Linked DNA regions of Cricetulus griseus. The protein of the gene in region 5 interacts with the protein of the main gene of each other region in a pairwise test. Links are inferred from orthologs where the notes say so. Each region holds a gene or a part of one and is shown on either strand. Other genes may lie near its edges. The genes, in order: Cby2, Lmna, Washc3, Nme7, Syce1 and Bfsp2.

The links.
Region 1: the proteins of Syce1 (region 5) and Cby2 interact in binary tests that used the Homo sapiens proteins (3 or more experiments, as listed by UniProt). The two-hybrid records come from large-scale screens. The link is inferred for Cricetulus griseus from reciprocal best matches to the Homo sapiens genes SYCE1 and CBY2.
Region 2: the proteins of Syce1 (region 5) and Lmna interact in binary tests that used the Homo sapiens proteins (3 or more experiments, as listed by UniProt). The link is inferred for Cricetulus griseus from reciprocal best matches to the Homo sapiens genes SYCE1 and LMNA.
Region 3: the proteins of Syce1 (region 5) and Washc3 interact in binary tests that used the Homo sapiens proteins (3 or more experiments, as listed by UniProt). The two-hybrid records come from large-scale screens. The link is inferred for Cricetulus griseus from reciprocal best matches to the Homo sapiens genes SYCE1 and WASHC3.
Region 4: the proteins of Syce1 (region 5) and Nme7 interact in binary tests that used the Homo sapiens proteins (3 or more experiments, as listed by UniProt). The two-hybrid records come from large-scale screens. The link is inferred for Cricetulus griseus from reciprocal best matches to the Homo sapiens genes SYCE1 and NME7.
Region 6: the proteins of Syce1 (region 5) and Bfsp2 interact in binary tests that used the Homo sapiens proteins (3 or more experiments, as listed by UniProt). The two-hybrid records come from large-scale screens. The link is inferred for Cricetulus griseus from reciprocal best matches to the Homo sapiens genes SYCE1 and BFSP2.

Annotation. Positions count from the first base shown.
Region 1 is NW_023276807.1:229,960,913-229,965,081, reverse strand, and holds the start of Cby2 (protein chibby homolog 2), read left to right. Parts: upstream 1-1,369; coding exon 1,370-1,444; intron 1,445-1,766; coding exon 1,767-1,847; intron 1,848-2,482; coding exon of another isoform or gene 2,483-2,530; intron 2,531-4,169.
Region 2 is NW_023276806.1:66,000,379-66,004,554, reverse strand, and holds the start of Lmna (lamin), read right to left. Parts: upstream 2,801-4,176; 5' UTR 2,688-2,800; coding exon 2,664-2,687; intron 1-2,663.
Region 3 is NW_023276806.1:154,206,829-154,211,123, reverse strand, and holds the start of Washc3 (WASH complex subunit 3), read right to left. Parts: upstream 2,801-4,295; 5' UTR 2,682-2,800; coding exon 2,631-2,681; intron 1,872-2,630; coding exon 1,773-1,871; intron 1-1,772. UniProt on the Homo sapiens protein: Acts as a component of the WASH core complex that functions as a nucleation-promoting factor (NPF) at the surface of endosomes, where it recruits and activates the Arp2/3 complex to induce actin polymerization, playing a key role in the fission of tubules that serve as transport intermediates during endosome sorting.
Region 4 is NC_048598.1:27,937,095-27,941,173, forward strand, and holds the end of Nme7 (nucleoside diphosphate kinase 7), read right to left. Parts: intron 648-4,079; coding exon 516-647; 3' UTR 501-515; downstream 1-500. UniProt on the Homo sapiens protein: Possesses an intrinsic kinase activity. Displays 3'-5' exonuclease activity with a preference for single-stranded DNA. Does not seem to have nucleoside diphosphate kinase activity.
Region 5 is NC_048596.1:60,417,889-60,422,093, reverse strand, and holds the start of Syce1 (synaptonemal complex central element protein 1), read right to left. Parts: upstream 2,801-4,205; 5' UTR 2,780-2,800; coding exon 2,728-2,779; intron 701-2,727; coding exon 638-700; intron 1-637. UniProt on the Homo sapiens protein: Major component of the transverse central element of synaptonemal complexes (SCS), formed between homologous chromosomes during meiotic prophase. Requires SYCP1 in order to be incorporated into the central element.
Region 6 is NC_048597.1:211,725,067-211,729,282, forward strand, and holds the start of Bfsp2 (phakinin), read right to left. Parts: upstream 2,801-4,216; coding exon 2,312-2,800; intron 1-2,311.

The DNA.
Region 1 (4,169 bases), on a different chromosome or scaffold from region 5:
ACAGAGGAGAGGCTACCTTAAATGCTCTCCCGTGATAATGAGATTGATGACTGACTTATATGCCATCCTATAGCCTTCATCCAGCAGCTGGTGGAAGTAGAAGCAGACACCCACAACTAATCATTGAACTGAACTGGAATCCAGATGCAGAAAAGGACGAGTGAAGAGCAAAGGGGTCCAGACCAGGCTGGAAACCCACAGAAACAACTGATCTGAACATGGGGGAACTCTTGCTCCCCAGACTGATAGCTGGGTTACCAGCATGGGACTGATCCAGACCCCAGGAACATGGGTTTCATTGAGGAAACCCCGGAAACCTACTCTCTTCCTACCCCAAGGGGCAAAATCACACAGAACTGGGGCTCTTAAATGGATCTGGAGGTGACAGATTTGACAGAGCTAAGGATGGAGGGATGAGTGTTCTGGCCTTAATGCAGGTTCTACATGTGATATGTTTGGTTGTATTTTTCTATCAGAACAGTGTTTCTTAAACCCTTGGGATTTCCTGACAGGACCTCCTTTGAAACACATCAGTTTATGCTAGGGGAATGACTTTGGGGGTGGGGGGTGATTGTCAGAGGAACCAATCAGGTGATTAGAAGGTTGGAATTTTCAGCAAACGTCTACCTCTGGAAGGATTTGACATTTAGTTAAGTGATCAAAGGCTAATGATTTGATAAAATTTGCCTACATAATGGAACTCCACAAATACCTCTAAACAACTGGGTTCAGACATTGAAGATGCTGGGAGGCAGGTGTGTCCAGAGAAGGCCAGAAGGTTTACGACACTACCCTGTCAAACAGCTCACCCTTTATCATTACCATTTGGCCCCTCCTGAGCTGCATGCTTCTTAAAGTTGTGATCCTAAGTAAATTACTCTCCTGTGTTCTGAGAGACAGCTATTGAACCTGAGGAGCAGCTTAGGGTAACCCCTGCATGGCTAACCAGTTACAAGTACAGGTGGCCCTGATATGGGATTGGTACTTGAAGTAAAAGATCATCTTTTAGGGCCGAGCCCCTAACTTCTCGGAACCTGACATGTAGCTATTATCAGAGTGGAACTGGACTGGAGTTCCTCAGTAGTGCCAAGTCTCTCCAGGTCTAGACAGTTAATGTTTCTCTTTTCCTAATTAATGTGATTGAAACAGATGCCACCTCTGATGGGAGGTAGAGAGGTTCAAGCCAGCCTGGCAGTGAGGTGTGAGTGGCAGCCAGCTGACCAAACAAGGGCTATTGTGTGTCACACTGACCCGGGCTGGCCACCTGAGCACAGCCAGCAGCAATTCTTCCTTCCTGCAGAAGCCTCGTTCCCACCTGAGATGCCCGGAGAGAAACCATGAGCTCAGAAAAACACCATATTGTTCTGTGATGTCACCTCTGGAATGTTCTGAGTGTTTTGGTGACCAGCTTATGCATAGGACCTATACCTGGCACCTCACATTGGTATGGCTTTTTACTTATATAGAAATCGTAGTGTAAAACCAGGAAGAGCTGCAATGATTTCTTCTTGTAAGAGGGCTTCATATCAGTTCATTCCTGTCTTGGTTTTTTGTTCAGTGATCAGTGTCGATCAGTTCCTGATCACTGAGCAGTAAGACTTCTGGCCAGGCGCCATGTACACATGCCTTGAGACTGTGATTTTTATAAGGTATAAAATTAGTCAGAAGGACATAAATGTGTAGAAAGAGGTTATGTGTTTCAGGTGAGCCACTGAGGCCCTGAGGATGGGTTGAGAAGGAGAAATCTGATTCTTTCTTTTTCACAGCACTCGAGGCCAATTTTTACAAGAAAGAGAGATACCAGATCTGAAAGCCTAGAAATTCCAATCAATGTGGTTCTACCTCAGGTAGGGACAATCATGGAAGAATGTAACTTGCTAGAATAACCCTGTTTCCAAGCCTTACAGAATGAACAGCGAAGTCAGCCACTCAGATTCTTGTCATGTTGGTGTTGTTTTCCTGCCCATTTGTCTTGAGGAGGACACATGGATTCTCTGAACCTTGGGGTCCTCTGGCCTTGAATGAGGAGACTGAGTTGGATGGTCAGGTCCTCCAGCACTAGCCTTTCAAGATTTGTTGATACTATGACAAAAGTCTAACCTTCCCAAAGGAGACCCTTCATTGCATGGTAGTGTATAACCACTCAGGACATCTGTAGAGAACTAGAGTCAACCTTGAATCCAGATGCATAAGAATGAACACAGGAGCTGAAACCCCAGAATGGAGCCCACTTGCAATGGTCAAGAGGATTAAGCCCTGCCATGGGCCAAAGATGGTTTACTGGGGATGAATGTTCACTTGTTTCTTTTGAAGCCAGTGAATGATTAAAACACTTATAGCTTGTGGTCTCCAGATCTCCTGCACACAGCAACTTTCTCAGTGGGACCCCCTTTTACTTGAGTGTTCCTTCTGTTGCTATGTCACAAAGGGGTGGCCTTGCTTTCTCCAGTGTTACCCAAGAGCTCATTGGAAGACCAGGGTCATGCAACCAGTGGAGGAGAAATGTAGGATGGAGGGATCCAAGGCACAGGTAATTTCCCTAAAAGTTTGGTCTCAGGAGGTATGTACAAAGAGGATGGATCTCTGGCTGGTGTTCTCTATTAGTGTAATTATAATGAGCTCAGCAAATATGGTGAGAAGGAGACAGAAACACAGGACAAGAGAACCACCTGGGTATTTTTTTTCCTTACAGCATTGTAGTAAGCAGCCACAGTTACATCTCTTTCAGCTCATGATAGCTAAGCCAGATTATTAGGCAACTATGTCCTGGGCATCCTATAGAAGAACAAGGAACCTTGCTAGGTCTGATCCCTGACACATAAACTACACATCTGTGCATGAGGGTGGCCGTGGTTCCTTTGGTACCTTTATTAGCCCACATGTTAGGGGCAGACAGGAGATACCAGCCCAGATGTGGGAGTGGGAATGGGGCTGGGAATAAGATTTGAAAGTAGGTGTATTACTTGCTGTTCACATTGTTGTGACCAAATACCTGGCAAGAAGCAAGTTAAGGGAGGAAGTCTTTATTTTGGATCTTGGTTGAGGGGTAAATCTGTTGTGAAGTGGAAGCTATGGGGTGGGGCCGCTGCCTCACATCACTGCAGATCCATGTTTTTCTCAGTCCAGGATGCTAGTTCATGAGCACTGTAAGACCCTTGGAAAGCTGAGGCTTCCAGAATCTTAGCCCAGGACCTCGGCCACCCCAATCACAGAATGGAGGCGAAAGCTAGATGCAAATTGCATGAGGCTTTATTGTAGTTTAACGAGCTAACACCATGTTAGCTCGGGTCTTTGACCCACCCACCATGGCAGATGGCTAGCAAAGACAGTTTGAAGCTGCTGCATACAGATCTTTATAGGGCAGCATAAGGGGAGTGTTTAGGGGTATGCACAGGCTCAGGATTGGTGTGCCTCCAGGCTTGGAGGGTTTGCCCTGTGTTGATTGGTCAACTGGCTGTTATGGCCCATAGGCCCTCCCAGGGTGGTTGCTATGCTTTGTGCGTCATTGCTGTGCGCTTGTCCATAAAGCACACCCAGGGTCATAAAGCATAGCGCTATCAGCTAACTTCTGATTGGCTCCTTGTCACGAGGCAGGCATCTGACTTTCTAGTGACTAACTTCTGATTGTTTCCTTGTCACGAGGCAGGCATCTGACTTTCTAGTGACTAAGACAAGGTCATAGAGCACGTGTTTGGTCATTATGGCTGCCAAAAGGGAAGCTGGTCCCTTCAAGCACTAGCCACATTAAGTATGGGCCTCCCCTCTGTTAGTCCTTCCCCATAAAGTCCCCACAGACACATCAAGGATGTGTGCCTTGCTAATGCCCTGGGTGTTTCTTAATCTAGCAAGCTGACACAAAGCCTTCATTACTGCCATGCCATAGAAAGATTAGAAAGATCCATCTACCCCTGGCATGACTTTGTCCCTAGCTCCCAGCGCCAGCTTAGCAGTCAAGGAGAAAAGGTGTTTGAGGAGTCTTGGGTTTGTTCTGGTCCTTTCAGGCCTACTTCCTGTGCTGTGGGACCTGGATCTTGGAAGGCAGAAGAATATGGAAGGAAGAGGTCACTGCTGTCTGGAGATTTTTCATGGCCAGCCAGGCTTAGTCAGCAGTCATCTCTAGGTCACTTAAGTAAGCAGCTGGTGTTGAAAAGCAGGAAGAGGATAATTCT
Region 2 (4,176 bases), on a different chromosome or scaffold from region 5:
GTCTAGCATAGCTCAGCAAAGTAAATACATTATTAGTTTTGCTTTGAAGATGAGAAAAGTGAAGCCCAGAGATCTAAGTGATCTGTGTAACACAGGGCTTCCCAACCCTGGCACCACAGCTATCTCCAGCCAGACGCTTCTCTATCCAAGGAGAGACCATGCAGAGTAAGGTGTTTGCAGCGTCTCACAATATTACTTACTGAATGCCAATAGTATTTCTGTCTCCAGTTAGGACAATCAGAAAACATCTTCAGACATTGCCAAATATCCCCGGGGGAGGACCAAATCACCCCCATCTAAGAATCACTTGTCTAATGTCATATGGCTAGTAGCAAAACTGGACTTTTAATATAGGTTAGTCTAGCTCCAAAGACTGAGATCTTAACATTAGGCTTTGATTCTGGTAGGAGGCATGAGAGGGATTGGAGTCAGGTGGAACCACAGACCACTGCAGAGACAGTGTTGCCCCTCACGGGGTAGGAATGGCTGACTGTGAAAGAAAGAGGTGATGGTGATTTAAAAACCTAAGATGTGGCTTGGGAATCCCTTCAGAGGGAGTTCCTGAGGGCTGTCCTTGACTTATTCTTCCTTTGATTACAGGGTATATATGACCAAACACTGCTGAACTGATGAATCATGTGTGTACAGGTGATAGTTATCACCTCTACAATGGGAGACCTCACCCATTCTTTAAGTGGTTGCATGCAACAGGGGCCCAGCTAAGGGCCATGTGGAGGTAACCTGTTTAATCTTCACTTTGACCTTATGACGTTATTATCTATACTTGGTATGCCAGAAGCCGCAAACTCTTGAAAGGTTGAGAAATTGGCAGGAAAAAGCAGAGTATGTTCCCAAGGGGACTCAGGAGCTGATTGGGGCGGGGGTGGGTGGGGCAAGGATGGTCCTTAAGAGAAGTGGTTGACAACTATTTGTAAAGCCTGCAGACCTCTTATTTAAATGAAGTCTCATCAAAACTCCAATGAGCTGGGCAGTGGTGGTGTAAGCCTTTAATCCCAGCACTAGGGAGGCAGAGGCAGGCAGATCTCTGTGAGTTCGAGACCAGCCTGGTCTACAAGAGCTAGTTCCAGGACAGCCTCCAAAGTCACAGAGAAACCCTGTCTACACCCCCCCCCACGCAAAAAAAAAAAAAAAACCCAAAACTAAAAAAACAGAAACTTCACTAGTTGGCCATTTAGAATCCCTTTCTGATAGTCCCTTATACTCCCTTAAGAGGTCCCCAAACCCTAACCTTATCTTCATAAATGGGTTCCTGCAGCCTGGGATGGTGGTAATTCTGTTATTTGGGCAGAGAAAGCAAAGGGCTAGCAGTTCAAAGTTGTCTTCGGCTACATAGCAAGCAAGTTTACAGCCAGCATAAACTACATGAGACTTAAATGAGACAATCAAGCCGGGCGTTGGTGGTGCACGCCTTTAATCCCAGCACTCGGGAGGCAGAGGCAGGCGGATCTTTGTGAGTTCGAGGCCAGCCTGGTCTCCAGAGTGAGTGCCAGGATAGGCTCCAAAGCTACACAGAGAAACCCTGTCTTGAAAAAAACCAAAAAAAAAAAAAAAAACGAAAGAAAGAAAAAAAAGAAAAAAGAAAAACAATCATTCTTCCTTTCTTTTCTTTTCTTTTTTTTCTGAGACAGGGTTTCTCTGTATGGCCCTGGCTGCCCTGGAACTCACTCCTTGAATACAGAATACACGCTGGCCTTGAACTCACAGAAGTTGGTCTGCACTACCTTCCTGCGTGAGACTCTACCTTAAAAAATAATAATAATAAAATTTTAAAAAGCAAAAAGCAAGGTTGGTGGTGTCACACACCTTTAATCTTGGAAGTAGAGACAAGGGATCTCTGAGTTTGAGGCCAGTCTGGTCTATAGGACAAGTTCCAGGACAGCTAAGGCTACACAGAGAAACCCTGTCTCAAACACACACACACATACACACACACACATATGCTGTGCAGTAGTGGCACATGCCTTTACTCCCAGCACTTGGGAGGCAGAGGCAGGCAGATCGTTGTGAGTTCCAGGACAGCTAGAGCTACATTAAGAAACCCAGTCTCAAAAACAAACAAACAAACAAAAAACCACACAAACAACAACAAAAGTTTGCCTCTGAGGACTAAGGATCAAAAGACATGACCTGGGTGGGCTACACTCTCCAGATTCCCCGGAGACAGGCTCTGCTCCTATACTACACGACCTCAGCAGAGAGAGCCCACCAGCCGGCTGGCACTGCCCTTCCTATGAAATTGGAGCAGCTGATCTCACTGCTCCAGCCAGGAGGGTAGGTGCAGCTGGAAGAGAGGGGCCACTCATACCTCACACCTGGTAGGTCTCTTGATTGGCAACCCTTTCACAATCAAAAATCTGAGGAGCACAAGCAAGTACCATTATCCCCATCTTACAGATAAAAGAATGGGAGGCTTGACCTGGTTAACTGATTTGCTCAAGGCCACATAGCTGACAGGTGACATAAGAAACTCCTAAACACTAGGCGGGAACCCAACCCAACAGCAAACTGTAGTGTGCCCAGGAGCTAGCTCCTACCTAGGAGGCGCTCCATCTCTGCGTTCCAAACCACCTCTCCCTCCCTCCACCTGGGTGCCTCGAGCTCTGAGGACTGTCACAACACTCACCCCTCCATACAATACACACCAGACTAGACCAAACAAAGATCATGCTGGGGGCTGAAGGCCTTCCTCAGCGCCTGCTTTCCACTCTATTCCCAGCCTCCGCAGCACCAGCTGGGGGATGGGGTGGGGGTGCGGGGAATCTGAACGGAAAGGGCAGGCCGGGGGCGGGGCCCATGGCTGCCCGTCCTCCGGCGACTGTGTCGGGGCGGGCATCCCGGCTGCTCCTTGGCGGGCCGCTCCCTGCACAGCCGGCGGCTGCAGTGCAGAAGGCGGGTGACGCACGCTACTGCGTGTGGGCGGCCGCATGTGAGCCTGTGTGTATCTGTGTGTGTGGTTGCTGGGGCCTCCCCGGCCTCCTAAATGGGGGTTTCCTTTCCCTGTTGCCAAGGAAACAAACAGAAGCGCCACAACTGCAGGCTGCCAGCAGGAGAAAAGGGTCGGTTCACCGCAACCCCCAACATTTCCAGGAAGTGAGGTGGCGTGGGGGGGGGGGTGATCCTTGTCTAGGTGACCAAAATGTTTGTGAGGCATGGAACTAGGGTGGACAATTGTTTTGTTCTTCTCAGGACTGGGGGACTTCCTAGGAAAAAGAATGTTCAGTGCTAATCTTGGGATGGCTGGTCAATTTATCTAAAGCACAGAGTTTTGTAGGAGAGGCCCTCTTTAAGAAATACAACCTGACAGGGCATGATTGGCACCTTTAATCCCAGAACTCAGGAGGCAGAGACAGGTGGACTCTTGAGTTCAAGGCCACCTTGGTTTACAGAGTGAGTTTCAGGACAGCCAGAGCTACACAGGGAAAACAAAAAAATAAAATAAAATAAATACAGCCTGGCTGGTCATGGTGGGGGCATGTCCTCTAATACCAGCACTCTCCAGACAGAGGCAGGTGGATCTCTATAAATTCTAGGCCAACCTAAGCTCCACAGTGAGAACCTGTCTCAAAAAAAAAGAAAGGAAGGAAGGAAAGAAGGAAAGACAGACAACCAGAGCATGACAGCGCATCCCAGCAGGTGGGAGGCAGAGGAAGGAAAACCAGGAGAAGGTGCTCAGCCACAAGTCCAGATGAAGTCAGCCTGGATTACACTAGTGAGATCCTATTTTATGTTTTTTGTTTTTAAGGTATGTGTGTTGGGGAGTGACTGGAGAGATGGCTCAGCAGTTAAGAGCACTGGCTGCTCTTGGAGACATCCTGGGATTGATTCCCAGCACCCTAAGATAGCTCATAGCCATCCATAACTCTAGTTCTAGGGAATCTGTTGCCCTCTTCTGACATCCACAAGTATCAGGCACCAAAGTGCAGACAAGCCACTCATACACATAAAATTAATAAGTCTTTTTTAAATGTGAAGAAAAGAAAGACAAGGCTGGGCATTGGTGGCTCACGCCTTTAATCCCAGCACTCGGGAGGCAGAGGCAGGTGGATCTCTTGTGAGTTCGAGGCCAGCCTGGTTTATAGAGTGAGTGCCAGGACAGACTCCAAAGCTACACAGAGAAACCCTGTCTCAAAAAAACAAAAAAGAAAGAAAAGAAAG
Region 3 (4,295 bases), on a different chromosome or scaffold from region 5:
TATTTGAATTAGAAACAAGATTGTTTTACATGGCAATCCCAGTTCCCTTCTCCCTCTCATTCTCCCCTTCTACCCCCCCCAACTAAAACTCTACCTATCACATATCTTTTTTGCTCCCCCTGGATGGTGATGCCTTCCATAGGGTGTCGTCAGAGTCTATCATACCCTTTGGGATAGGGCCTAAACCCACCCCTGTGTGTCTTGGCTCAGGGAGTATTCCTCTATGTGGAATGGGCTCCCAAAGTCCACACCTATGCTAGCGATAAGTACTGAACTACTACAGCAGGTCCCGTAGATTTCCGAGGTTTCTTCACTGAAACCCATGTTCCTGGGGTCTGGAGCAGTCCCATGCTGGTATCCTAGCTATCAGTCTGGGGACCAAGAGTTCCCTGATGTTCAGGTCAGCTGTTTCTGTGAGTTTCACCATCCTGGTCTGGACCCCTTTGCTCTTCACTTGTCCTTCTCTGCGTCTGGATTCCAGTTCAGTTTAGTGGTTAGTTGTTCTACCAGTGCTTCTATTTAGAGAAGCAACGGTATAAGAGAGACCAGATTGAAAACATGGCTTGGCAGCTGAGAACACTCATACTTGCAAAGGAACCAGAATTGACGGCCAGCATCCACATGGTGGCTCATAACTGTCCATAGCAACAGTTCTAGGGGATCTCATGCCCTCTTCTGACCCATGTAGGCATCAGACATGCATGTAGTGGACAGACAAACATGTGAGACCCTCACACACATAAAATAAAAGTAAATCTTAAATTTCTGAAAAGACCAAAACAAATGAGAGAGAGAGAGAGAGAGAGAGAGAGAGAGAGAGAGAGAGAGAGAGACTCCTCACTATATCATTAGTGATTACATTTGGAGGAAACGCTAAAGACATTGTGATGAAGAAATAAAAACAACAGTTGGGACTATCAATGTTACTCAGAGGCAGAGTGCATGCCTACCCCATTCAAGACCTTACTCAGAATCCACAACTTTATAAACAGCTCGAATTTTACACAAATGACAAGTCTCCTATCTGCAAGCAATCCTGATTAACAGTTACATATCTAACTTTGTTAAGGGTTTGCCTTGTATAAGACAATATAAGATAACATTGCATTGATTCAGCTGGGACTAATCTAGAAATCTCTTCTATTTCCTTTCTTAAATTCAGTTTCAATATATATTCTCCATTTTCCTCCTCATCCAAAAAAAAAAAAAAAAAAAAAAAAAAAAAAAAACCCAAACCAAACCAAATAAAAACCTTTCTCAAAGATCAGGCGGGGGTCCTGAACCTGGCACCTAATTCTTAATTATGTGTTTAATTTTTACTGCACAGGTTATCCAGACATTTGCAGAAGGGTATTTTTTTTTTAAAAAAATGTATTTCTAGGCTTCCTCCCTGAACCACTTTGGCTCAAAGAATGCAAAGTAATTTAATATAAACACAAACATATACTTAAAATATAAAACTCTGGAGTAGGAAAATGAAAAACTTTAAAATAAAAAATTCAACTGTGAAATTATTTGTGTGTGTTTCTCATAATTATAAAAAACTTTATTGAGCTCACAGAAACGCCTAGAATATGAATTCAGTTGAGGGATACAGGACTGATGGTAACAGAATAGAAGAGACGCCAAGGTGTCTTAACACAATTGGAGAAGGTCTTGGCAATGTGAATAAATGAAAGCTGTAATTTTTGCTTCGCTCTGTTAACCTGAAAGGTGGAAGATGACTTCTCAACTACTCCATAAACTAGTAGTAGCACAGGACCTGGACCTACCTCCTCACAAACTGTGGAAAACCGGTTGAGAAACTGCACCGTGTGCACCACAAACTGGTTTAGAAAGGCCACGGTCCTTTTCTGTTGAATAGCTGGCACCTGTGTTACATAAAAACAAGCAAATATGATTCTTACAGGAGAGACATACACTGTGCAATCCTCTCGATATCTGTTTCGTAAAGACTATGATTTTGCCCTGTGACATGAATTTCATGGAGGGCTGAGAACAGTCCCTGACTTGTTTTCCTGAACCGTGTGTGTGTCAAAGTGACAGGGGCTGCAAAAGTTTGAGAGTGTGCTACACACACACACACACACACACACACACACACACACACACACACACACACACAAGGGAGGGAGCAAGGGAGGAGGAGAGAGGAGAGAGGGAGAGAGGAGAGAGACAGAGAGGGAGAGGAGGAGGGGGAGACGGAGGGAGGGAGAGAGAGAGAGAGAGAGAGAGAGAGAGAGAGAGAGAGAGAGAGAGAGAGAGAGGAGGGAGAGAGGGAGGGAGGAGGGAGGAGGGCAGAGAGAGAGAGAGAGAGAGAGAGAGAGAGAGAGAGAGAGAGAGAGAGAGATTGAGGATCAGAGAGGTAGTGTTAGAAGTGGCACTATTTCCAGACTGTCAGCCTTGGCTCAGAGTCACATGATGTGGGGAGCGAAGGCTGCGAGGCACATCAACTCTTTAATTAGCTCAGGAGGGAACCCTTCGAAAGTGGACTGCGGGGCTCCCCCTTCCCTAGGCTAGCAAAAAGGGGCCCGGGTTGGGCCTGGAGAGGTGGTGTCTCCCGGGGAACCGGGGCCCCTTGGCCAAGCTACTTCCCTGTTCGCCGGAAGCTTAAGTCATCTTTTACAAACCTTGGTCAGGTCTATGCCTGACCCCATAAGAGGAAGCCCATCCTCATCCATCTCCACAGCAGATGGGGACACCGGGGCTCAGGCACAAGCCCCTCACAGCCCGGTAGAAAACCCCGACTCCCCTTCCCAAGTTCCTGCCTCCGGGGCCTTTCCGGAAGAAAGATCCCGAGCCCACCAATCAATCAGTGGCTTCAGAGAGTCCGCCCCTTCACTCTCGCTCAGCATTCTGGGATTGGTAGTTCAAGGAGCTGATTGTAAAGCGGGCCTGAGAATCACTGCTGAAGAGCTGATGCTATTTTAGGGGTGGGGGGGACCTCTGCCTCCAAAGAATAGTGAAGACATGCAGAATCTTGATGTGCAAAATTTAGGTGAAAGTTGTGGCACTGTAAATTAACATATACAAACCCTTGTGTCTCCATGGGTACATGCACCCACATGGACTCAAAGCACTGTGGTGCTGTAGACGATAGGCGCTTCTAAGTTGTCCAAGCAAAGAAGAGGAAACCAGCTTTAGTAGCTACTTAACTTTAAGAAGAGCTAAGATGACAATCTGACCGGGCTGTGGTGGCGCATGCCTTTAATACCAACACTCTGGAGGCAGAAGCAGGTGGAGCTCTGTGAGTTTGAGGCCAGCCTGGTCTACTGACTGAGCTCCAAGACAGCCTCCAAAGCTACAGAGAAACCCTGTTTTGAAATTCACCCCCATCCCCACCCCCAAATGACAATCTGGAGCCAGGCACTGGTGGTGCACGCCTTTAGTTCCAGCACTCGGGAGGCTCTGTGAGTTCGAAGCCAGCCTGGTCTACAGCGCAAGTTCCAGGACAGGCTCCAAAGCTACAGAGAAACCCTTATCTCAAAAAACAAACAAAACACCAACAGCAACAAAACACGACAATCTGGAATGAGGAGTATAGTATGGAGGGCAAAGGGAAAGCTGTTTGGTGGTATTAGCAGAGATAGGGAATAATGAGAAATAAGACGGAAATAGACACAAAGAGCTGATGAAGGACCTTTTATACCAGAATAAGAGCCATGTTTTTCTAAATGGGATTCATGGGCCGCTGGTTGGGAATGCTTCTTAAAAGGCCTGCTCCATAGGAAGACTTGGTGGACTTTGCAGAGCCCCCGTTGAGGGCCCTACCCTGCCTGGGGAGTGGTGGGTGGATGGGGGTGGGGGGTGGGCTGGGGGAGGAGGTTTGGGGGTGGGGGAGGGAGAGGGAGAAGGGACTTGAAATAAGCTTCTTCCCTAACTAGAACTAATAAAACAAAAACAAAAACAAAAACAAAAACAAAAAAAAAACAAAAAGGCCTGCTCCAGAGATTAACCTCAGACAAACCAAATCAGGATCCCTTTTAGGTATAATTTTGATTCCTGCATTTTCAACACCACTCCCTGGAATTATTGTGAATTGTGGTCTTCAGCACAATAATTTGCATTTCCATGGTGGCTAAGGATGGTGAACATTTAAAAATGTTTGTCAGCCATTTGTATTTCATCTTTTGTGAATTATTTAGTTTAGCTCCATGCCCCATTTATTGAATTTCTTGAAGTAAGCCAGCAATTAATATGAGGAATTGATTAACTACTATTCTCATGAAAGATTTGATCTGCACGTGATGCTGTATGACAGTATTTTATTCATATTAGTGACAATCAGGGGCAGT
Region 4 (4,079 bases), on a different chromosome or scaffold from region 5:
GTGAAATGATGACATCAGGATTTTGTCTGGTAGCTCCTGGGTGGTTGACCTCACGTTCAGGTTAATCAAGAGTAGGAAATTCTTTCTTTCCCCTTTACTTCACAAAAAGTTGCTCACAGAGTATCAATATCTCCACTATGCTGGAGGCATTGAACATTTGAAGTAAAATCTTTTTAAGTTCTTTAAAAGCTTGGAACAATCTGGAAAACCTGCTGAGTCTACTTGTCTTTGAAAACCCTAGGCCTAATACTTTCCCTGTTATACTACTCCTCTGGCTTTTTTCTAATCAGAATAGAAACACAACTCCTAACGGACAAAAAGAGGAGTAGCAGTAATATTTCTGAATGAATTCATAAAAGAGGATGGATTTGATTAGGCCATCAATGGTTTAGGCCCCTTTCTAAGTTCTCGCAGAAGACCTTTAATTAGCTACAGAGAGTTACTTATTACCTCAGAAACGCTTACTTAGTCACTAAGAAATGGACAATGTGCAGATCAAAGACAAGGAGCTGGGGTCAAAGTGCAGAGAGCAAAGGCCAATGAGTAGATAGTTTCACCTTCCTCCTCGGGTTTTCAGAGCTAAGTAGATGAGGAGCCTGGACAGCTGTGGCGGTGACTAGCGTGAATGATGCATCAGATGTGTTGGGCTAAGAGACACAAATGCATCCAATCAGAAAGAACACTTTCTCCCTTGCTTGAGACCTGATCAAAGTCAGCCACCTGCACCTGTGCTACTTTTAATACCTCCCCCCTTGTCAGTTCTTTTTGATCATAATAAACTCTGACAATGCTATGGTTCTTCGCTTCCAGGCTTTTCAGAAATGAAATCAGCGGGGGACCTTTTTATTTGCTGGTTTTAAATGATGTTTAACTCTGAGAGGTTAATGTTTCAGTCACACACTTCTTTAGAGGACATATCTGCATGGCACAGTGCTCCTGTTGTAGATCTAGATCTAGATGAGCCAGTCTTCTAACTTGTTTCCAGTTTATGATGGGGTGCCTTCCTGATCTTTAATAACTGTCATTTAGCTACAGAATACTTATCTTAAGCCTATAACAAATATTTTCATGTTCTATAAGAAGGGCAAATTTAAGAGTCAGAAGGCAAACTAGCTTCTCTGGACCCTGTTATCAAAAGGAAGAGCTGCATCTTGATGACAGGCCACAGCTAATGGAGAAATGGTTGCTGGCATTACCCTGGATTTCAAGGACCTTTGTTTACCTTCTAATCTACCATGGTAAAATCTCAGGAAAATGTCATACTCATTTAAATTGAAGTATCAGCATTACTGAAGACATCAAAGTAAAAATAAAGGCAAGTTATGCTAGGGAGATGGCCCAGCAGTCACGAGTGCATACTGCTCTTCCAGGCCACTCAACTTTGATTCCCAGCACCCATGTCAGGTGGCTCACAACTGCCTATGACTCCAGCTTCAGGGGACCCAATACCTCTGACCTCTGTGGGTAACTACACACATGGCTTGCATGCGCTCCCACGCATGTGTGCACACACATTTTTAAATAAATAAAATTTAGAAAAAATAAAGACAAGCATTACTTATTTTGAATGGAACAGCATCTGGATTCTGCTTATAGGACACAGCAAGTAGAGATGTTTGCTTGTCTAGACAGAACTGCTTTCTGGTCCCTTCCTATCAGCTCAGCTACCTTGCACCTCTCAAACCTCAGCTGCTAAAGTAAATGATCCATGAGTTTCACTTGCTGCCAAGTGACAGGCAACAGAGTTTATATGGTAAGAAGAGAGGTTGGGAAAGAAAAAAAAAAGAGGGTCTGGAGAGCTTGCTCAATGACTAAGAGCACTGGCTGCTCTTTCAGAGGACCTGGGACCAATTCCCAGCACCTACATGGCAGCTCACAACCATGTATAACTCCAGTTCCAGGGATCTAGTGCCCTCTTCTGGCCTCTGTAGGGACTAGGCATGAATGTGGTGCACGGATACATATGCAAACAAAACACAAACACACATAAAATAAAATGAAATGAAATACAAAAAAAGGAAGGAAGGAATGGAGGAAGGAAAACCAAAGGAACAAGTATAGGTCTAGTTGGGAGGTGGTGGCACTCACCTTTAATCCCAGCACTCAGGAGGCAGAGGCAGGTGGGTCTCTGTGAGTTCAAGGCCATCCTGGTCTATAAACTGAGTTCCAGGATAGCATCCAGAGCTACAGAGAAACCCTGTCTTGGAAAAAAAAAAAAAAAAAAAAAGAAAACCAAAATAGCTAGGTCTAGCATAGAGACTGGATTTCTTGCAAGGGAACAGGCTTGTGTTTCAAACACCAAATGCAACTCTCTCTCTCTCTCTCTGAAGTTTCTTTTTCTCATTTCTTCTTAAAAGGACAGTGTTTGAACCAGATTTTTGTGTGTTTTCTATGTGGTGAAAGCAGAGTGAGTTGTACCTTATAGTGAAATTACACTTGAAGTCTTACCTCAGCTGGGGTATAATTTGTAAAAAGCAGCTAAAAACCCTGACACCTATCAGGTGTTCCATGAAAGTCACAACCATTCCTCTTTGTCCCTGGGTAGAGGCTGAGGAGGAGGGAACATCTGAGCATGTGCAGATGGCTAGAGGAGACCCACCCCACTCAGGCTGCGGTAGAGGACTCAGAGCAGGTGAATGAACCAGCTGTTCATTTGTTGATGCTCCAGGGTGATAGATGTGGCAAGAGAGGAATAAAAGGGTGAAGAAAACTGAGCACCCAAAGGACACAGAAGCCATAGACCAGGACTCTGCAGAGGCTCTTGGTCCCAAGGCCCACCCCTCTGTGCTGGGTGGATCTTAGCACTGGACAGATGCCTTGGCTACATGTAGAGAGAAGGGAAACAGAAGACAGGCAGGTCTCCAAGACTAGGACATAAACTTGGGGGGCTGGGAAGTGTTCATGGAGTGGGCCCCATCAGCCCTGTCCTTTTAAGCATCTTCTTTTCCATCCACTTTCAGAAGTCTCTCGTCATGACTTAGCTGCTGACTTGGCTTGACACTGAAGCATTAGATGCCTGGAGTCCTACCATAGAGTTCATTCTACCTTCTCTCCAGACACACACACACACACACACACACACACACACACACACACACACACACACGTACGTCGCCTCTTCTGTTGCCCAGGTCTTTCATATTCAGTCTCTCTCTTACCATCTCTATTTTTAATTTTTCATGTATTTTACAATGAGGAAGGGAACTATCTAACAAGATCAATTTTAAATGGCACCTTTTATGAGACGTTATAAACTGGTATATATACACACACCAGATGTGTATATATATATTTCACACACATTATACACACATATATACACACACAGTAGTTATACACACACATACACACACACACACACACACACACACACTGGTAAAGTGTAATATATGTTCCCTTTATTTAGGATATTTAAATTTAAAGAATGGAGCTTTTCTTAAAAATATATTATAGCCATTTTTAATTCTAATACATTTATTTTTCAATGATCAAAGTAGATTTTAAAAAGATTTTGTTTTCATTTTTAAGTGTGTGTGTGTGTGTGTGTGTGTGTGTGTGTGTGTGTGTGTGTGTGTGTGTGCTGGATGTGTGGCTGTGAGTGCAGGTGCCTATGGGGAGCAGAGGTGTCACTGGAGCAGGAGTTACAGACAGTCGTGAGCTGGGACTCAAACTTGGGTCCCCTGCAGGAGCAGCATGGGCTGAACCGTCTCTCCAGTCCCTGATTTAATCTGCTCATATTGGTTTAACACAAACATTTGTGCCTGATTCTGTCCTCTGAAATAAGTATTATGATTATTATCCTAGTCTTATAATGAAGGATCGAGGTACAAGAGTTTAAACAACTTTCTTAAATATCAAGCAAGTTGCAATTCTGGAGTTTAAACCCAGATACAGTCTGAGTCATGATGCACTCTATGTACTTAAAATATTAGCCACAGAGCTATCCCTTAATGTATTGTCATTACTTTTTTGAGTACAGTGTATTGAATATCTAGCCACTGGAGATTGAATAACTAACATAAAATACAAGCCAATGTTCGCACAGAGCAAAGGCTGTGGAAGAATGGTATTCATGTAGA
Region 5 (4,205 bases):
CAAAAGTTAAAATTTAAGGGGCCAGTGAGATGGTGCCGTGGATAAAGGTACTTGCCACCAAACCTGACAACCTGAGTTTGACCCCTCAAACTCACATGGTAGAAGGAAAAAACTGACTCCCTTAAGCTAACCTCTGACTTACACATTCTTTGAAATGGTATGCGTATGTGAGCATGAACCACTGTGTGCTCACACACACACACACACACACACACACACACACACACACACACACACACACACATTAAATGTTTCTTAAAATTAAAATTTAAGTACAAAAGCATCTACTTGTATTTTATGCATGAGTGCTTTGCTTGCATACATGTAAGCCCATCACATGTGTGCCTGGTGCCTGCAGAGACCAGAAGAGGACGTCAGACCTCCTAGAACTGAACTTACTAATAATTGTGAGACACCTTATGAGTGCTAGGAAACAAACCCACTCCTCTGCAAAAGCAGTTAGTGCTCTTAACTGATGACCTCTCTCTCTACACACACACCCAAATTTACGTTTTAAAGAAAGTTAATGTGAATAAAATAATGTCTTATTTTTGTGAATTGTGGTGCTTGGAGTTGAATCTACATCTGCCTGACTTCAAACCTCAGGGTAAGCCCATTAGCAAAAAAGACACTGGACCTTTCTTCAACTTCTTCACCATTTCCATTAAGCCTTCAATTTTCTGTGTGGTCACATTCTGCCCTGTGGAGACAAAACCAAACTTTCAAATTCAACAGGATAAATTGCCAGATGGATCCAGTACCTAAACTGATACTGAGACGAGCTGAGGACAGATCTCTAACCAGAACAGAGTTACTGATGGTTGTCCCAAAATAGATAATACAAAAAAGTGAGTTGGGCCCCTCCATGGACAGCCTTTTCCTACATGGTGCAATTAGAAACACAAAACTCAAGGTTAGGGCAGTGCTATATTTGGTTCACTTGTGCTGCTGATTGTTATCAAAGCTAGGTCAAGTTCACAAAGACTAGGGTACTAGGTGTGGTGGCATATACCTGTAATCTTGGAACTTAGAGAAAGTGGCAGGAGATCAACAGTTTGTGTCTACCCTAGCCTTTATCACAAGGTAAAACCCACCTTAAGCTACATAAAGATCCTTTCTTAAAACAAGCAAATGGCTAAGGCTGGGATTCAGTGGTAGGGAGCATGCTTTGCATATTCAAAGCCCTGAGTTTAGTCACCACTGGGGGAAGAGGGTGTTGCTAAAATACTGGAAAGTAGTTGAAAAATCACCGTAATGGATTGATAGCATTATCAATTAGGAAGTTCAAGAAAGTCTTACCCAAAATACATTGACTATAAACAAAATGTATTATAGTAAGGGAGCTTGTTAAAACATACATTCAAATAGCTTCTCAATATATAATTGATACTGATTATAAAGCTTCCATATAAAGTAATATTTTGTATTCATTTTGTTTGTCTTGTTTTGTTTTTCAAAACAGGGTTTCTCTGTGTGGCCCTTATGGCTGTCCTGGAACTCCATTTGTAGACCAGGCTGGCCTTGAATTCACAGAGATCCGCTTGCTTCTGCCTCCTGAGTGATGGGATTAAAGGTGTGCACCACTGCTGCCCAGCAATTTTTATAGCCAATATGCACCTATTTTAAATTATCTGGTGAACTGGATGTTAGAAATCACTGTTTGTGGCATTACCAACATAATAAAGGAACCAGACATTATGAGTCACTTAATTTTAAAAATGTCCCCTATTAAGAACTCTTATAAAACTGATGCTAATATTTATTAACTAAGTATTAACTAAGTATTAACTTATTAACTCAAGTTCTAAAAAAAAACAATTAAGGGCTAGAGATCCCCCGTAAACGTGCATGTGGCACCATACAGACTGGGAAACTATATAGAGAATTTTTTTTAACATCAAGGGGAAGGAGGTAGGGGAGAAAGACTCCTCAGGAATGATAAGGGTCTTAAGAGACACATCTATTTAATCTAAAAAAAAAGAAAGAAAGAAAGTGGTCTGTAAATAGGTTTTGATCCAAATAAATGCATTGTATAAAAAAAACTAAAACAATTAGCAATTTTTAAAAAATCAACTGGATATTTGCTAAGATAAAGAAATTGTTGGCACTATTATATAGCTCTAGCGATAGTGTTATTTTCCTCGGGTACCTGTCTCTATATACATACATGGGACATTCAGGGGTTGCACTACTGTCTGTGGTGCTATGTCATCAAACAGGGACCTGAGTGGTGGGAGAAAAGATTGACGAACGAGTCAAAACCGTCCACGCTGGAGCGTAGCCTCACGGCCTAAGCCCATCGCCTCTCTGTTTTACTGAACCAGTACACAGACACTAAATCGTTTGTGCAGAAAGGTTTCGAGAACAGTAGTTTTGTTCAGAGGTGAGCCGCCCACCCACACGCTAGGCGCGCTGGGATGGCGTCAAGTTCTAGACAGCCAAGGGCGACCCCGGCTCCCGTGGGGCCACCTGACTTCAGGCCTGGTGCCACAGGGCCTGGTGCAAGCCTGCTCTGAAGGTGACGGGAGGAGTGTGCCCTGCTACAACCCCACACTAGGCCTGGCCTCACAGGGAGGCGGCCAGCAGGCCCTCAAACGTCACAGGCCTCGTCAGTCAGCGCGCCCACGCCGGGTTCGCGCCCACCGGCCCAGATCGCCTCAGGCCTCGACAGGAGGCCCTCTCACCCCACAGCTCGCCAGGACAACCCAGGCTCCCTTCAGCCACTACCTCCGGCCCCCTCAGGCCTGTGGAGCGGGTCTGCTGAGTCCTTGGGCTCCATGCCCAACGGCTGCGGTCTGGTGGCCACGCTGCTCCACTTCACTCAGCGGCCACAGCAGCCGGGCAGCTGTTGCGCACTGCGCCTGCGCAGTACGCTGCGCGTCCCTCTGGCCTACCACGCGGCCAGCTGCTGCGCATGCGCAGAAGGTTTTTTGTTGTTGTTTTGGTTTTGGTTTTTTGTTGTTGTTGTTGTTGTTGTTGTTTTGCTCCACCACCACCACCACCAAACACTAATCCCATTTGAAGTGAAGACTTCCAAGGCAGTGATTGGTCAGTTTCGGAGGCAAGTGCCTGACCGAGAATGCAGGCCTATCTCTCTACAAGGTTTAAGATTATGGTTGTTAGTGATAGAGTTAGGATTAGCGTTAGAACGTGGAAATTTCCTACTCTTGGACAGAACAGTGGTATTGAGCAGACCCATGATGCCTACTGAAAGAACCTCAAGGGCCTACGGTGGACACGGTAAGCAGCTCAGTTCCCAGTTCCCAAGACACCGTTCGCCACCCCTCCAAAAAAAGCCTGGCGTCTCCCTCTGTGCCGTGCCTAAACCATCTGCCAGGACAGCCCAGGTGTGAACACTTCTGGCTGTGTTCCACACCCACCGGGCAAACTACTCTCACCTTGCTTGTCTGTGGTAGTCTCTGTGACCCAGGCACAGACCTTCTTAGACCAGAATAACCCAACAGTTCTTGTCTGGTAGTTTGCTGGCCCCTGTCCCGGTCTGAGGTATCAAATACCTAGCCTGGAACACACTGGGTTCTCACAGTACATAATGAGGGGAAATCTGGTGAATTCCTCCCCTGAACAGATATTTAGTAAGGCTCCCTGGATCCCACTCAGCAGTCACTCTAGAAGTGAGAATGAATGCCAGGTTCTCAGATTGTTACTGATAACTTGTAGAAGTGCTTTTGGTTGTGAGCCTAGCCTTTAATGGCTGAGCCATCTCTCCAGCCCGTAGAGGTGCTTTTATGTACACTGTGTTAATAAATAACCCAGCATGAGGTGGCCACAGGGAAATAGTATATATTAAGAATTATGTACTCTGTGTTTTGAGAACCAAGACTAAAATGCTCTTATATAATATACATAATAATATATAACATGTATAATACTATATACAATCAATATATGATGCCTGTTGCTATCTTATGAGAGCCATGTATTTTTTTCCTAAGAAATATGAGAACGTGCTGAGTGTGGTGGCGCACACCTTTAATCACAGCACTCAGAGGCAGAGGCAGGCAGATCTTTGAGTTTGAGAGCAGCCTTGTCTACAACACAAGTCCCAGGACAGCTCTGTTTCACAAAGAAACCCTGTTTCGGAACAGAAAAAAAAAAAAAAAAAAAAAAAAAAAAAAACAGGAAGGAAGGAAGAAACGTGAGAATATAATACTTACATGTTTGTGTATTTCAAAGTACAGTAAATA
Region 6 (4,216 bases), on a different chromosome or scaffold from region 5:
TTTGGAGCCTATCCTGGCACTCGCTCTGGAGACCAGGCTGGCCTCCCTCCAGAGTGCTGAGATTAAAGGCGTGCACCACCAGCGCCCCTATAGAAGTTTTTGTAAAACTTCTTTTGTAAAAAGAACAACTTTTTTCTCTTCTGTCTGCATAGCACCGTCTGGCACTATGAAAGCTATCATGCCAATTTCATGGCTGAACTTTCTAACCACGATACTGAGATGTTGGTTCCTTCCTGGCACGTGGGTATCATACCGTCCAGTAGATGCTGCTGAGGTTGGAATATCTGGGATGTTCTAGGGGTTAATATGTCATACAATATTTAAGACTCAGATAGTTTTGTGGATTCCCTGAGGGGTGGCTACCTCTTGGACAGGTTGTGAGGCCCTCCCTGGATGTTTGAGAACAGCTGCACCAGCCAGAAAGATGGTATTGCACCCTCCTTCTCTAGGGGAGGGTGAGGGTGCTGAGAACAGTGAGATGAAATGGGGATTCTGTGTATGCCCCAGGCATCAGCCAACAGTACAGTTTGTAACCTCTCAGGCTGCATGCCTGACTCCAGGGAGCAAATGGGACCAGGATTTGGCTGCTTCTGGCTGGGATAAGAGACTGGTTTAGTGTGCAGGGATCCCAAGGCCAGCATTTGGGGAGAAAGGGGAGAGAGAAGTCGGCTACCCACGGAGTGACCAGCTGAGATAAGCAATGCCAATAGGATTCTAGCCCCGAGGACCACAGCTTACAGGCAGAATTGATGGATGAGCTTGGAGCACTGCAGAAATTGTCTCAGAGAACACGACACAGCCCTGACCAGGTGAGGAAAAGGAGCCCTCTGCATCCCTGCCCAGAAAGATGACTGTCTACTGTACACAGTGATCAGAAGGAATAAAATCCAAGTAACACAAAAAATATCAAGTTCTCAGTCTCATAGCCATAGCCCAAGGACTCGGTTGCCACAGAGGGTGTTGCATAGCTATTTTCTGAATTGTAGTCCCTCTGGGAGGAGATGGTTCCTAAGGTCCAGGAAACTTACAGAGCTTAGGAAGTTGTAAGATTCACCACCCCCAATTATATATGTGATAAACCCTTGTTGGGGAAGGGAGACTTGCATAGGGCTGCCTGCAAATTGGGCAGGGAGCTGCTCCAGGGGTGCAGCTTTCATGAGCATCCCCCATGTGCCTTGATTCTTCCTTTGATTCTGTTATTCTCCTGTAATTAACCCCAATAAACTCATTGGTCCCCAAGCTAGACTTTGGTAGAATCTTTGATCTGTTGATGGTGCCCTGTCTGGGGTGAAAGTACTGGCTCATGTCTGTGCAAGAGGAGTCACACAATAGGTGGCCAATACTGTAAAATGTTTCCATCCACCATCCAGAAAGTTCTATTTAAATCTCCACTGTTGGGCTGGCACTTTTATATTGATTTCATGTTGAAATAATTTTTGCTATCTTGATTTAAATAAGATAATATTAATGCCAACTTCATTTGTGTTTACACATACATACACACACACACACACACACACACACACACACACACACACACGCGCGCGCACAGGCACGCATGTAATAGGAAATTGAAAATTACCAGTATGGTCCATATTCACACTGATACCATGTATGTGGGTACAGGAGCACACCTTCACTTAGTCATCATTTAAAAAAACACATCCATTCAGTGGTATTTGGTTCTATGGTGGCCTGAAAACCTTTTAAGTAACTGTGACAGAGGCAGTCCCAGATAATAGGACCAATGCAACTTTGGAGGAAGGAAAATCCAGGTTAGATAGTGACTGCCCCTCTCTGTTACAGTGGTTCTCAACCTTCTAATGCTGTGACCCTTTAATACAGTTCCTCATGTTGTGGTGGCCCCCAGCCATAAAATTATTTCATTGCTACTTCATAACTGTAATTTGGCCACTGATATGAGTTGTAATGTAAATACCTGATATGCAGGATATCTGCAAAGAAACCCCCAAAGGGGTTACCACCTGCAGGTTGAGAACTGCTACTCTATTAGCTTGTGGACTTGGACCGTGTTACACAGGTTTTCTTATTTGAAAGGTGTATGCCGTGCTAGTTTGGTCACAGAGCACTACTGGAATGTTTTGGGGGTGGTGCATGTGCACCTAGAGGGGTCCTGGCCCCTAGTCAGCCCCAGTGAATGGCAGCCAATGTTACCATTAGACCACCAGCAGTTTTGGTACGAAAGGGGTGAGCTCTCCCGGCCTCAGACTACTCACCACTGTTGCTGTAGCCTCCAACACCCCCTCTCAGGACACTAGCAAGCCTTTAGATGAACAGCTGGAGGACTTACCTGCTGGTAGCTGCTGGCCCAGGAGGCCCGGAGGGCATCCCAGCCTCCAGAGCGTTTGGCCTTGCTCTCCAGGTGAGCCCGCAGCTGTGTTTCCAGCTCCTGGCTGACTTGTTCAAGAGCATGCACTTTGGTCATATATTCCACTAGGCAGCTCCCCAGGTCTTCAACAGCAGTGTGATCCCTTTCTGGGCCTGGAGCAGGGACAGTGGTAAGGCCTGAACTCCGTAGACCTTGCAGGAAGACACTGCTGATGCCCAGAGCCCGACGGGTCACTCGGGCACTGAGGCCACCTATGCACCCACTGGGTGCTACTCCTACATAGACCCCAGGTGCACGGATGAGGCTACCCAGTGCACTGGTCCTGGATGCTGGGGGGCTCTCAAGGGAGGATGGAGACCGTGTCCCCCTGAGGGACACCCTGTGCCTCTGCAGGGGCATGCTGGAGTTGGCTCCAGGGGGCAAGTCCGCTGCCACTCTCCTCTCACTCATCATTCTCTCTGCCTCTGTGGTGCCTGGCAGGTTTACAGAGTTCAGTGGCTTTTGGTTGCTAGTCCCAGCATCCCCATGGCCTGGTCACGGGCCTCTCTGGAAGCTCCTCTGTCCCCGTGTTCTTTGTCTACTGCCTTCCATGAGCTTCTGTTGTTCATTGAGCCAGAAGAGAACCACCCCGCCAGCCTGTGAGAGGCACACAGGCGTTCTCTGATGCTGGGTCATGTGCCCAACCAATCCAGACTTTTCTGCTGGGGTGAGGGTGCTGGAGCAGTGCAGGTTGTGGGAACGGATCCTCTAGATTTGTCTTATTTCTTTTTAGACAGGGTGTCTGAGTCTGGCCTTAAAATCTCTATGTAGCCAGGATGAGCTTGAACTTCTGATCTTTTGCCTCTAATCCCTGCAATAGAATCCAGGGTCTCATGCATACTAGGTGAATACTCTGCGACCTCTATATCCCCAGCCCGTGGGTTTGTGTATGTTACTGCCATAGAGAGAGTCGGGCAGGCAATAAGTGGTTCTGTTTCACCGGTAAGGAAACAGGCTTGAGGACCTTGGGTGACAAGTGTACTGATCACTTTATATCTCACAGCACAAGCTGGGACTCATTGTAGTGGCCTCAGGACCGATTGCAGGACTTTCCACACCCCTTGACGTGCTGAGGTAGGGGTGTGCACATGCGTGTTCATGTTGTACATCCACATAGGATCAGAGGATGGATGTGGATGTGAGCCAGCCATGGACAAAGGTGCAGCCCAGGAGACCCAAGGGAAACAAAGCAACCTGCTGCCCTCAGGTCTGGCAGCCGTTCCAGGCCCCTTCCAGCTTCTCTCTCCCCCCCTCATGTCTGCCCTCTGACACAATGCTTGTCAGCTGCTGGCCCTGGCCATGTTTCTCCTCCTCTAGACCTTGCCGTACATCTGCCTGATTGCTAATTCTGACACATCAGATGCTCTGGAGCCAGTTTAGGACCTGAACTTCTGGGAAGCTGTTTGTTAGGCTCTGCTCTTTTCCACCTCTGTGTCTTCCTCTAATAAGACTAGGAAGTTGAAAACAACAAAACAATTTCTGGAAAGCACTCATGGGTGCTACAAGTTAGGGTTGCTGGGCACCTCAGGTTTTAATCGTTGCTTTTGGCATACTCCAAGTCACACTTTCAACGGTCACATCCCAGTCACTTCTTGGGGGCTTAGAATGGTCCCTCCAGCCTGGGAATGTGCTCAGGTTGTAGTGTATTGGAACTAAGCATCCCAGGTCTAGAGATGGACATACTCCTTGACCCTATAATGTGAGGATGGACCTGAGTCAAGAGACGGGAACGGGAGTCACCTTCTGGTAGGTACTGAGTATACTCAAATTCTGAGCACAGTTCCACTCTTTACCTCACTGACTTTTCAATCCAACTTTAGAAGGCAG